3 linked regions of the Canis lupus familiaris genome follow. The protein of the gene in region 2 interacts with the protein of the main gene of each other region in a pairwise test. Links are inferred from orthologs where the notes say so. Each region holds a gene or a part of one and is shown on either strand. Other genes may lie near its edges.

Evidence for each region.
Region 1: the proteins of GABARAPL1 (region 2) and ATG4A interact in binary tests that used the Homo sapiens proteins (3 or more experiments, as listed by UniProt). The two-hybrid records come from large-scale screens. The link is inferred for Canis lupus familiaris from reciprocal best matches to the Homo sapiens genes GABARAPL1 and ATG4A.
Region 3: the proteins of GABARAPL1 (region 2) and OPRK1 interact in binary tests that used the Homo sapiens proteins (3 or more experiments, as listed by UniProt). The link is inferred for Canis lupus familiaris from reciprocal best matches to the Homo sapiens genes GABARAPL1 and OPRK1.

Annotation. Positions count from the first base shown.
Region 1 is NC_049260.1:82,285,905-82,289,970, reverse strand, and holds part of ATG4A (cysteine protease ATG4A), read right to left. Parts: intron 3,317-4,066; coding exon 3,215-3,316; intron 3,031-3,214; coding exon 2,958-3,030; intron 1-2,957. UniProt on the Homo sapiens protein: Cysteine protease that plays a key role in autophagy by mediating both proteolytic activation and delipidation of ATG8 family proteins.
Region 2 is NC_049248.1:10,351,944-10,356,545, reverse strand, and holds the start of GABARAPL1 (gamma-aminobutyric acid receptor-associated protein-like 1), read right to left. Parts: upstream 3,014-4,602; 5' UTR 2,732-3,013; coding exon 2,642-2,731; intron 1-2,641. UniProt on the Homo sapiens protein: Ubiquitin-like modifier that increases cell-surface expression of kappa-type opioid receptor through facilitating anterograde intracellular trafficking of the receptor. Involved in formation of autophagosomal vacuoles.
Region 3 is NC_049250.1:5,350,633-5,355,436, reverse strand, and holds the start of OPRK1 (kappa-type opioid receptor), read left to right. Parts: upstream 1-1,574; coding exon 1,575-1,831; intron 1,832-4,804. UniProt on the Homo sapiens protein: G-protein coupled opioid receptor that functions as a receptor for endogenous alpha-neoendorphins and dynorphins, but has low affinity for beta-endorphins.

The sequences.
Region 1 (4,066 bases), on a different chromosome or scaffold from region 2:
GTGGCCCTAAAGTCACCAAACACTGGGCCACAGAGAAGTTAGGGATTGGGTCAAGCTCTGGCTCCCTTGACCAAGAGCACTGGAACATCCCATGTCCAGGGACCTTGGGAAAGCCAGAGTCACTGTTTTCAAACCCTGAAAAAGAGAAGCCCTGCTTTACAAGATGGAAAAATCTACCTCACAAGATGATGTTACTCCTGCTGGGTGAAAGAGAAAAGGTACCAGCATTTCTGCTCCCAAGACATTGTATTTTCTCTTTTCAAAAGGCATTTTGACTGCTTTTTTCCCAAAACAGGAAACTTCCATAAAAATATAAATTATATATATACATACATATATATACACATATATACATACATACATATATATGCATATATATGTAAATACATACACGCATGTTTGGGAGCACATAATATGGAGAATATGCCCAGGAAGATGGAGAGAGAGAGAGAGAGAGAGAGAGAGATCTCTTACACCCCTCCCACAATGCAGTACGAAAGCTGTTCAAGAGATTTGGGCTGCAGATGGCCTTGATATGGTGCCTCATTGGCCAGCAGCTGAAGAGAAAGAGTATGCTGAACTGAGAGAGTACGCTGAACTGTGTGACTTCGGAGAAGGTTAGAAAGAAAACCCCTTTGACAGAGGGATCATCCAGGATCTGAGTAAAGCACCATGACCATATCTCCCTTACATTTCCCTCTTGCCTGTCTGAAAGAAGGCATGTTCATTCAACCTGGGTACTTCTGGGACTCTTGGGTAAAGTCCAGTCTCACTGGACAAAAGAAAAAAAATATATATATATTCTTTTCCTAACCAAAGTAGCTCCCAGGAAGAGACTAATTACCATTGTACTTTAATTTCATTCCTTTTGAGATATCACCTTTCCCTGATGTACTTATATTCTGTTGTTAATGGTCACAATCACAATGAATCAAAACTCACCTAAATTCTTTAAAAAATGTATGTTTTGGGCAGCCCGCATGGCTCAGCGGTTTAGCACTGCCTTCAGTCCAGGGCCTGATCCTGGAGACCCAGGATCGAATCCCACATTGGGCTCTCTGCTTCTCCCTCTGCCTCTCTCTCTCTCTCTCTCTCTCTCTCTCTCTCTCTCTCTCTCTCTGTGTGTGTGTGTGTCTCATGAATAAATAAATAAAATCTTTTAAAAATGTATGTTTCCATTTGTCTGCTGTTAAGAACTTCAGAATTTAGAAGAAAAAAGCAAATTCTGAGGGACATCATGTAAAAATCTCTGGGCCTCCAGCCATTTCCAGCTGAGTTTGGGGTGCAGCACAGCCCTTCTGATTCACCTTCCAGGCTTTTTTTAAAAAAGATTTTATTAATTGATTCATGAGAGACACAGAGAGGCAGAGACACAGGCAGAGGAAGAAGCAGGCTCCCTCCGGGGAGCCCAATGCAGGACTTGATCCCAGGACCCTGGGATCATGCCCTGAGCCAAAGGCAGACGGTCAACCACTGAGCCACACAGGCGTCCCACCTTCTACAGTTTCTACCTGGGGCTCCTATGCTGGTTCCTGAAATACTGCCGGATCTTCACTCGGCAGAATCAACCATCCCCCAAAAGGAACTATGGACTAAGGCAAGAAAGTGGTCTCAGGGGGGTTGGTATCTTAGCAAGGAATAAAGCCAAGATACAGATTTCCCCCTTGAGTCCCCAGGAAATCCAGCCTACTCCCCACATGAGCACATTTCCAGAGCCTTCTAGATCATTGAAGAGTGGTTAATAACTGAAACAGTGCTCCCTCAGTACTTTTTATGGAGCGGATCCCACTGTCATCCTCCGGAGAGCCCAGGAATTGAAGAAGCAAGCTACACCCAAGGAGTCCAGATGGTTTCAACCTTCTGATGCCTAAATCCAGCCCCAGACTCTGGATGCCATCTTCATTCATCCTGCAAGTATTTATTGAACTCTTGTATGCTCCAGGCAGTTTTATGTGCTAGTGTTATGGTAGTGAATGAGACAAATACCATCTCTGCCCTCATGGAGTTTTCATTCAGTGGCAGGCTGTCAGGAAGGAAAGTGACAACAGGTGAGGTGGCCTGCAGATGTAAATGCTGATGCCACTCACGCCATTCCCTTCTAAAATGTCAGGCTTATGGGGCATCTCGGTGGCTCAGTGGGTCAAGCGGCTGCCTTTGGCTCACAGGGCATGATCCCAGGGGTCCTGGGATTGAGCCCTGTGTCAGGCTCCCTGCTCAGCAGGGGGTCTGCGTCTCCCTCTAGCCTCTGCTCCTCCCCCTGCTCATGCTCTCGCTTTCTCTCAAATAAATAAATCTTTTTAAAATTACTTAAAAATTAAAATTAAAATGTCGGTCTCCAATTCTCCACCTTGCCTCTTGCCATGGGAGGTGAATTCTGCAACTTGACAGAGCAACTGCCAAAGCGGACCTGGAGTCTGCTAAGAGATGACAAACTGACGCCCTTGAGGTTTGTCTATTCGTGAGTTCCCTGAGGCAAGGGCTGCATCTAATTTATTTCTAGATACCCAGCAGGTAGCACAGGAGGGCCACTCAGTAAATATTGAAGGAACAAATGAATGAGTGAGGTCTTTTACACTCTACGGGGTGGGAGGGAGTCCATTGTCTTGCCTAGGCTGTCTCAGCCTCCACCACTTAGTGTTAGCCCTCTGGCTTCAAAGTGACCCTCAGGCTGATGGTCCCCTGGAAGGCGAGCACCAACCTGGAGAGGGAATGGATATTGAGGGAGTCTTGGGGTGCCCCCCTCACCCTGATATACTGGTACAGATGGATATAACTCTGATAATACTAGAACAGATGTCCACACATGCACATTTCAAAGAACTGTCCAAGCAAAATGATACAGATGTTTGGTGGCTTAGTGATGGCAAGAACAGTTAGCTTGATGGGACACTGAGCTGGCAGAAGAGGGAGGCACAGGAGACAGTTCTGTAAGGCGGATGCCAGGCTCTTTTACTTACTTTAATACCTGTGCAACTGTATTTGGTCCAAACCATTCGCCAATTGATTTCCCTTCTCCTACACCCATCTGTGCTGTTTTTATGTGGGGAGGGGGGAAAAAAAGAGACGTTAGCAAAAGTTCTTCCAGCATGCCACAAACTCCTAATTTTTTGCATGAATAATTAAGCAGATGGACAAGTTTGCAGAGCCCATATAAGGCAGGGGATGAAAGCAGAAGGTACAGAACACTGCCTCAAGACCACTGATGTGACCTTACCCATTTGATGGATAGAGTAGCAACAGTCCTTTCTATCTAAGAAGCACTGGAGGATCCGTTGGTATTCTCTGGGTTGTTCTTTCTGTTTCTCCCAGCTCCAGTCTTTTGAGGGAAAAAAAATGTATGAAAGTCATGTTTGTAACTGCTTATTACCTCACTGCCCTCTTACTGCCACTACGATGTTACAAAGAAAACAAAGGAGTTCCAGCTAAAAGGCAGGGGCTATCGGGTTAGCACATTCCTAATTAACTTCGATTTTGATGACAAAGGCATCTAGAGACATTACTTTCAAAGTCTCTGTGGGTGTAAAGTATAAGCAAAATAACAAGCTGACTGAGGAACTGACTTAGCCCGGAGGCTGGAGCTAGATAAGTATTACATGAAAACAATGTCAGAAAAGGCTTTTCTGGTCTGTTCAGCTACTGAGGTCACTACAAAGCCCAGAGGTATATCCTTAGGCCGCCCTGACGCCATACTCTCTCATCTCTACACAGACAGCAACGGCTTTGGTTCATGTATTTTGGCAACATTGCGAAAGAGTCTCACTAGGGAAGTGCTATTCAGACACACAACAGTGCACTGGGGAAATACACACAATTCACAACTGAGGAAGCTCAAAAGAAATTGCATGCTGTCATTTTTACACAACCTTCAAAGAGTCCACACTGACCTTTAGAAAAACGAATAACCTCTGTGTTTAAGGTTTCTTTGTGACCAAAACTAAAATAATCATACCTATAGGAAGCCCCTCTGTGCCTCAGGCATGCCAATCTCCCCACGCCCCCGCAAATGCTGCAGAGTCTATTTATCCCAGGATGCAGGACAACTGCAAAGATTCTCCATGATCACCGC
Region 2 (4,602 bases):
TGAACAGGAGGGGGATGGGTAATCATTAAGGCCTTGGCTTACCAGAAAATATCTTAGGTTTCCAACAACCCCAACTCTACTCATAGGCCCTGGACTAGATGCTTTTCCTCTTTGGTTCTCGACGTGTTTTTTTCTTCTGTGCAATACGGCCAATATTCCACAAGGGCTTTTACAAATTTTAAAGAATAGACAATATGTCCCTAACAGTTTCCTGCAGTGTTGAAGGTTTTCAATACACTGTAGCTATGCAGATACTTTAAGATCCAAAGAAAACCTTTCCTCTCAAGGCAGGAGCACATCCATTCTTTTGGATGGTAGCTAAGAGATAAGGAGGGGCCTAACTAAAACTGAGTTATGTGAGCAGTCAGGGAACCTGATTGCTTTGGTAAATACCAATGGCCCAGCTGGAAGGGGTTTTAGAAATCACTTACACTAACCCTCTTTTCTGTACACTTTAGTACAGCAAGATTAAGGATCTGGCCCAAAACTAAATCTCACAACTCAGAGAGCAGAGCTCTTCTTCCTGCATCACGACCACAAAGAAGGTCACAGGCTGAGCACCTAAGGAGCAGCTGGAACGCTTATAAACTGGTTAAAACCCAACTGAAGGAACCATGAGACCTGAGTGATGATTCTAAGAGCTGACAAGTAATCACACAGGCCAAACATTTTTAACACCAAACAATGAGCAGGAAAAGAATAGGGAAGATTAGCTGAAATACTCTGGGTGAATGCATGTAAGAGACTGAAATGGCAAGGGCTCGGTTTTGAAGAAATACATGGGAATTTTAACTAGATTTAGGAACAGGTACCTTTCAGAGTTTGTGGCTTAGGCAGAGCTACTGGAACAGAGCCTCATACTGTTCTGAATAAATGGTAGTCATTTTGCTCAGTGGGTTACCTTTCTGGCATCATACTTCTCTGACCTTTCTAGGGCTGCAATGTTTTTTCTTAATTTCCAATACCTAACAGTGTGAGTCACACAGTGCCTCCTTAATTAATTCTGAGATTAATTTTCCTTAATTCTTAATTAAGAGAATTGTATTAGAAATTGAGAAACGATATGGCATGGAAGGTCCAACAACCAGAGTTGGAATCTCAGGCTCTGCCACACACCAGCCACAGGAAACCTTTAGGAATCCGTCATTTCTCTGTGCTTCAGATCCTTCATCTGTAGAATGGGATTATAACGGTGTGAAGATTGAGTAAGGTCAGAGGACATGCAATACTGTCAGTATAGAGCAAACAATCAACCAATGAAAGTTAGTTGTCATTTTTAACTATTAGACGAAAGGAGGCTTGCTACCACCACAATTGGGGCAAACTTTTGAAGCTGTCACCCAAAGTCCAGATACCAAACAAGTAATTTGTGAAGGATCATTTACTGGGTGGGTAATAGAGCTAGATCTCCTTTTTAGCTGAAAACCCTTGTGTACAATTCGTGGGGAATGGAACAGACCTAAAGTCTCGCTTCCTTATAAAGGACTGCAGGGGAGTTTTACTGCAGGCATTAAGGCCCAAGTTGCTTCCAGTAGCTGTAACACGATGAAAATTAGGTAAGGATTGGAGAAGAGTCCCAAAGAGTACCTGCAGGTCAAGAACTGACAACACATAATCACAATTACTTTGCCTGTACATAATACGTCATCTTTATCCCAATGTCCCTGCCTGAAGATAGTACAATCTGACAGCCTCTGCTCCTCCATCTCCAAAACCCAACGGTGGTTGTTCCCTCTACCACCACACTCAAAAGTCTTCTGCCTTCCAATCTGGCTGCGCAGCCTACATTACAAAAAAAAAAAAAAAAAAAAAAACAGGCAAGCGGCGGGGGATGGGGCGACGAAAAAAGCGCCCGGATGCAGAAAGCTACCTTAATGTTTCTCTGTTCTCCCCACTGCCGGCACTAATTTTAACCACAGAAACCAGCTTCCAAGACGGAAGCAAAAGGCCCCAGTCCTTCATGGTTGTGTCCAGGTACAATCTGATAGAATAAGTACAGGAGGGAGGCTGGCTGCACCCTCACAAGCCCCTGGAGCCAAGAATGATGAGGCAATCGGGCTGTGGCGCAGAGAACGTGACCTTGTTTTCTGGGCCAGGCCTGTCTCGTGCCCTCCCCTCCCCCCCCCCCCAACAAAGACACTTTTCTCATTCTTATGGAATAAAAGAAAGGATCCACTGATTTCTGAATCTATCCCTCCCAAACCCAATGTTCTGAGAGCCAAAGTCAACTTCAGGGAGACGCATCGAAGGCAGAAATCCATGGCCGCAAACCTCACTGCACCAAGTTATTTCCAGAACAATTTCCCTGGGATTCTGAAGGACGCGAATGTATGGTCCCATCTCGATCCTGCTCTCACTAAAGGGCCACGTTCTGGTCACTTCTCACCCTGCACATCCTCTGAATACTGCTGAGTCACTCAAACGGAGGCTCCGCTCTAAAGATGACGGGGAGAGCGGCCCCGGGGAGACGGGCCGTGCAGGGTCCGCAATCAGGACGTGCGCTCCACGGCTCTCCAGGGGCTCAGCAACCCTAGAGACCACCCCTCTTCTGTGCCTCAGGGCAGCCACCACGACTCCCGGGTTCCCCCAAGCGCGCTCAGCCCCTTCCCCCCTCCTCTTCCCTGCCCCCCATTACACTCACAGGGACCCTGTCCGGATATTTCTTCCGGATTTTTTCTCCTTCCTTTTTCCGATATTCAAAGGGATGGTCCTCCTTGTACTGGAACTTCATGATGGACCGCAGGGTTTCTAAGATTCCCCGGCCGGGGCCTGCCTTCCTCGCGGGTGGCTGCGTCTCTCCCGCCTCGCCTCCCCCTGCCGAATTTCGATGTAGGTGTCAGAACCGCCTGAGAAACGTCAGCTCCCGTCGCCACGCGCCTTGGCAGAGCTTGCAGAAGGGACGTCGGGTCCCCTCGGACGCAAGACGGAGTCGCTCAGGTGGAGAAATCCCGGCGGATTTTCCCCGGAGCCTCGAGCACAAAAACAACACGGCGGCGCGTTGGTATTATGACGTCATGACGTCCCGCCTCCCCGCCCCGCCCCCAGCCTTCGGACGGCAGCGGGGGGCGGGGGGGGAGGGCGAAAGTCGGTCCGGTTCGGCGCGCTCCCCTCTCCCTCTGTCCGAACTCTCCTGCGTCGGGAGTATTGCGAACATATAACTTTTTTACTTCGAATTTCGTTGTGTGGCTGTGACATTAAAAGTGGTTTGGATGCAAAAAAAAAAAAAAAAAATACGTTCTAAAGATATCTTATTCCCTCTTGCTCGCTGTTTCTTGGTTGGATCCAAAAACAAACACAGGGGGCGAAAATCGAGCTCTTTCCAGCTTATTGGGATCTGGAATCTAGGAGAAGAAAGAATGGGGGTCGTCGGGTGCCTTTGGCCCGGTACGGAAGTGCCCGGTGCCTGCACTGTGCCCTTTGCTCCTCGTCTGCACCCCCGCTCCTGGGCGCTGGGCTGGCGCGCTCCGACCGTGACCCTCCTTCACCACGCGCGCGCACGTCATTTTGTTTGGGTCCTTGCCGCAATTCGCTCCTAGAGCGGCAGCAACAACAGAGCATGACTCAGGAATTTGAGATGTAGAAGCTGAAGGGCAAGCTTGTCGTCAAGGTCCTGAGAAGTGATGTCAGTCATCGCTGCCGAGGGCGTCGCTCACGCTCCGATATAGAAATGATTCACTTTCTCCTACGAACTCAGAGGGTGGGCCTGTCTTCTGGAAAAGAAAATAACCAAGCAATTCAGGTGGTTCACAAAGTACCTCTTAAACATTTCTGTTGTTTTTTTTTTTAATTTTTATTTATTTATGATAGTCACAGAGAGAGAGAGAGAGAGAGAGGCAGAGACACAGGCAGAGGGAGAAGCAGGCTCCATGCACCGGGAGCCCGACGTGGGATTCGATCCCGGGGCTCCAGGATCGCGCCCTGGGCCAAAGGCAGGCGCCAAACCGCTGCGCCACCCAGGGATCCCCCATTTCTGTTTTTATTCTGCAAAAATTCACCAGAGGATAGTACTACTTGTTAAGTGTCCCTAAGGTGAAATAAAGTGCCACCCGAAGGGCTGGTGGAAGACTGGTGGGCCACCTGCCGTTGTCGCTTGCCTCTGGCCGTCCCCTGGCCCCACTAAGAATGGAAGAATTAAGGCCTTTCCAACCACTGCCAATGGCAGTGATTCCAGGGATTGTAGATCAGCAGGAGGAAGGCAGAGAAAATTGTAAAAGGTATAGAAGAGAGAGGAAGGACCGCTTTGCTTTGATCAAGTCCAGGGAGCTCTGAAATAAATATACAACAGCAGTCCCCATGTCTCTGGTTTAAAAAACAAACCCACAAAATAAAAGAAACTAAGTTTCATTATTGAAAAAAGGAAAATGAAGATCAATAGCCTTACCTCTTGACGTTAATTATTTCTCCTCCATGATGTCTTTCAGTCCTCTTTAGTATAAAAACCCAGGAACGAGTCTATCACATTATATGTTTATAATTTTTAATCCTTATTTTCAACCAAATGTTAGCTCATTTTAGTTTTGACCCACTATAGCTAAAATCTCTGAAAGGAAGTACTTTACAACCAGCTGAGAAAGATAATTGTGATGGAGATGAATATTTTAA
Region 3 (4,804 bases), on a different chromosome or scaffold from region 2:
ACATTGCCAAGAAGAGCTGTGTATTTCGAGGTTGTAGTAAGATTCTGGTGGTCAAATGCCTTTTTGGGAGTCACAATATCTGAAACAAGGTGGAAGCTCTCTTCTGCGGTCAACTGATGAATGGAATGACTGTATAGGCATCCTGATTCCTGTACCCAGTCTGGAAAGGGGAACTTCTCCACTGTCCTTCAGTGGCTGAGTCCTGGCTCCCCTGTACAGCCAACTTTGGCCTTCCTTCCTTGTCTTCATCATCCCCTGGGTCTCTTTGCCTGAGGGGACATTTCAGCAGAATCTGACAGATATCCTTGGACTGGTGGAGTTATGCACAGAAATGATGATGACTGAACTTCTCCATGAGGGTTCAGGTTCTTGGGGGCTCTATAAAGAAGGCATCCCAGTGAAGGGAAAGTGGATTTGCAGGGATTAATAAAAGAGAAAGACAATGTCAACTCCCGGCCCAGCGCCGAGGCCTGAGTAAGGAGAGTGTCTTACTCATTGCAGGTAATAACCACGAAATACGGATAATACCTGAGATGCCAGTCTGTGTGTCATCTCAGAGAAGAATGAAAGGAACAGAATGAACAGAAATATTCTATTTACGTATATTAAATCATTAATATCTGATGGCCCGGTCTTACTCTAATTGGATTGTTTTGCCACTTTATTTGGATGCGTCATTCAGAATTTCTCCTCTCTTGAAAGAAGACATGTCTTGAGAACGATGCCCACAGTAGCTCTAGACTTTATTATGAATAATCCAGATGCATAATCGCACTGAGGAGGCACACCCTTACTGCTAAAGCTAATCCGCACAGCTGCTAGTCTTAGGGCCGCCCAGGAGAGGCTGATTGAGGCTCTGGGTAGTTGGTGGTCGGGGAGCCTCGGCTGGGGGCGCGGCCCGGGCAGGGGCGGGGCGCCGGGGAGCTCCCCGCCCGCCGAGCCCGCGCGCTCCGAGTCCTTGCAGCGCACGCCTGGCTGAGCCGCCGCGGGCCGTGGGAGCCGCGCTGAGCCGCGCTGAGCCGCGCTGAGCCGCGGGGACCGGGCTGGGCTGAGAAGGTGCCTCATCCAGGGCGCCGAGCTGCGGGCGCGCCGCGACTCCAGGGCTGAGACCGCTGCGCGGGTCTCCGGGAGCCGGAGGTGGGCTTTGGGCTTTCGACTTTCTAGGAGCAGCCCTGGGGAGCGACGGCTCCTTGCTCGAGAGCTCTTCGTGTCTGGGGGCTCAGAGCAGCAGTCTGGGGACGGTTTCACGGGGCGGGGGCGGGAGGAGGGGTCGTACCTAGGAAGGGGTTGGAGGGGATTGCAGGAGCCGGGGAAGAGGAGCGAGCGCTGTCCGCTGTGCTAGTCGAGCGGGTAGCGCCAGGCGCCCGCCTTTTCCCGCCCCCGGGGACGTGCGCCGGGTGGGCATCAGGCTGGGCATCAGGCTGGGCATCAGGCTGGTCCCGGCGCCCCGGGCCTGCTGGCCCCCGGCGCTGGCCCGTGTGCCGCCAAGTTTGCCTCTCCGGGTCCAGCTTCTCTCGCTCTCGCCGCCCCGCAGGTTCTGCCTCTGCTCGCCCTGCACCTGCGGCCGCCGGACCATGGAGTCCCCGGTCCAGATCTTTCGCGGGGAGCCGGGCCCCACCTGCTCCGCGAGCACCTGCCTGCTCCCCAACGGCAGCGGCTGGCTGCCCGGCTGGGCCGAGACGGAAGGCAACCACAGCGGCGGCTCCGAGGGCGCGCAGCTCGAGTCCGCGCACATCTCTCCCGCCATCCCCGTCATCATCACGGCTGTCTACTCCGTGGTGTTCGTCGTGGGCTTGGTGGGCAACTCCCTGGTCATGTTCGTGATCATCCGGTGAGTGCGGGTCCCGGCGCCGCAGTGGCTGGGGTCGGGAGGGAAGGTCCGCCTGGCGCCAGGACGCGCGGTTGGGGCTCCAGCCCGGTGGCGGGGCTCTGCCCGCGGTGCAGGACCTCGGAGAGCCCCCGAGGGCGGCCTCTTTGAAGTAAAGGATTCCTGGAAGAGTTTTGGGTGAGGGACTCTGAGGTTGCACGGGGGCGAATAGAACAGCCAGGGGAGTTTTGAGGCTTTAAATGACCCTCCCATCCCTCCCCCCCCCCCCAAAAAAAAACCCTTACTGAAAACTATGGTTATGGAAAATATTAGGGTGTGGAGCAAGGTCAGCGTCTTCTGGAAAGGAAACTAGTTCCTTTGCCTGGCCTTTTTGCCTGGTTGCCCGCACTAGTTCGGAGCACTTTGTTCTGTCCTTTGCAAATATTTTTTAAGGTAAAATTCAAGCCCATTGAATGCACTGGAGATAATTCAGAATTTCCTGTGACTCATCAGATTGGTGTTACGGTTTATAAGCAAAAGCCGATATATCCTTAGGGTTGTTAGTATCCATCCACGCGCCATTTTAGTACTGAAATGTTATCTCATTTACTTAGAATTTCAGTGATTTTTAAAAAATAAGCCATCTAATATTTATCCTCTAAAGTGTGGATTGTGGAGGTTTTCAAAAATTGCTTTGCTTCTTATTTTCCATGGAGAGAAACTGATGATTTTATTTTATTGCTCTTTGGTGTTACATTGAAGTCAGCTTCTATTATAAACATCCAAATACCCACCCATATCTGCTAATTTTCTGGTAGGTGAAGTGATTTTTTATTTTGGCCTCTTTCAACAACAACAACAAAAAAGAAAAAAGAAAAAAGAAAAAAAGAAAAAATCTCAACTTTGCTTTCGATACTCTTTGATATAAATATTTCACTTTCTGGGAGAGTTAATGCTTTGGAAATACACCTTTGAGAGTGAATAAAGAGTTTACATTCCTTTGAAGAGTTCCTGTGAAATAAGGGACACAAGTCACTCAGAGTCACTGTTCATTGAAGTGATGAATAAAAACTACATCTTTAAAAAAATTCTAGCTTTAGTTTAGTTCTTTATTTATTATAAACCTTAAGAACATTATCTATAGCATGAGTCTTGGGAAATCATCATAATAAAAAATGCCCATTCATCTGTCTATCCAGGTTTGAGAATTTTATCTTCATCTGTACTCCAGAACTAAAACCCATCATTTAAGCTTCCAAATACACATTATAAAGCTCATTTCATCTACAATTAGCATTTGTAGCTTGGTAGCCTTGGTTTCCATGATTGTGTATTGCATTTTATAGGCATCCTATCTGTGACAAGTAAAGGCCACAGAGGGAGGAAATATTTTAAAAGCACATTGTTTTCCAAAGTCTTTAGTAATTTCAGGGCTGCTCTCCATTAGAGAGAAGATTATAGCAACCAAAAGAAAAGAAGACAGCTGTGTTCTCAATTACAATTAAAAGTTTTAGGAGATCTTTGGTTCAGAGGCTGTGAGTTTGTAATAAAACACTGCTACACAAAAAGAAGATGCTAAGAAAAGAAACAACTCTGTTCCTACTTATATCATATTTAAGTGCATGAGTAAAATGAATACATCTTATTGTTATTTGAAAGAGCACCTGAAGTTCTGAGTTTGAGAAGAGCTTCTTAGTTGTTAACAACTGTTTATATAGCCCTACAAAGTAGGATAAAAAGGAATGAAGAATCCTAAAATATGTGCAAAGACAACTCCATGGGGAACAGTAGAAATGTCAGAATGAAAACAGAATTATGTATATATTTTTAATATATTTTTTAAATATTCAATTTATTTATTCATGAGAGACAGAGAGTGAGAAAGAGTGAGAAAGAGAGAGAGGCAGAGACACAGGCAGAGGGAGAAGCAGGCTCCATGCAGGGAGCCTGACGTGGGACTCGATCCTGGGTCTCCAGGATCAGGCCCTGGGCTGAAAGTGCACTAAACTGCTGAGCCACTCAGGCTGCCCAAAAACAGAATTATAGATTAACTAGGACTTTTAATGGCGGATATGAATATGAAGAAATAGAAATGAAATATAAAAATATATAACAATTATATGTAATTATATATAATGAATAATCACCATTATAAATAGTAATATAGTACTCATCAATTGTTCATATATTTATATAATATATACAATATATAATTTTATATATGTGCTTCTGTGTGTGTGTGTGTGTGTGTGCATCCAAAAGATATCCAGGATCAAAATTTATTAAAAGATAAATTCAGCTAAAAATCCAAAAAAAGTTAGCTGGTTCAGGTAACATCATTCATCCTCCCACCTCACTCCCAACTGGTTGGAAATGAAGTATGAAAAGTGAGGAATCATCCTGGAATGCCAATGTACTGAAACATTTGTTTCCTTATATCTATAGCTATGAGGATTAAGGAGTATTTGGTATTGGTTAAGACTGAGAGATGCCCAAAGAGTTGAAAAATAAAACCTCAAAAGGAAGGTTAGTAGAAGTGGGTTTATTTTGCTCAGAAGAAGAAGGAACTGAAGACTTGAGAGAGGTGGCTAGTGTCTGCACACCAGAATTGAGAGCAGAACGGGAATACGGAATTCAAATGCAACTTTTATAATTGATGTTGAGGGCTGAGCAACATTGCTTAAAAAGATGGAGGACCACTTTTGAGGACACTATTTTAAAACACTGTTCATTGAAAAGGGCCATGGTTCAGTCATTTAGGACATCATTCTAGAGATGGGGTTTAGATGCTTGGATGTTGGGGCAGATGTAGTCCAAGATGGCCTGCTCAGACCCAAGGAGAAAGCTAGGGTTGTGGAAAAAGCTGTGACTATTTTTAGACCTGTCTTACAAATAGCTTTCCCATCTTGGATGCCTGAAATGCTGCCCAGTATCCTCTGAGTATATTTAACATTTCAAGGGTTTTCATCATTTTATATGTACCAACTACCATAACTG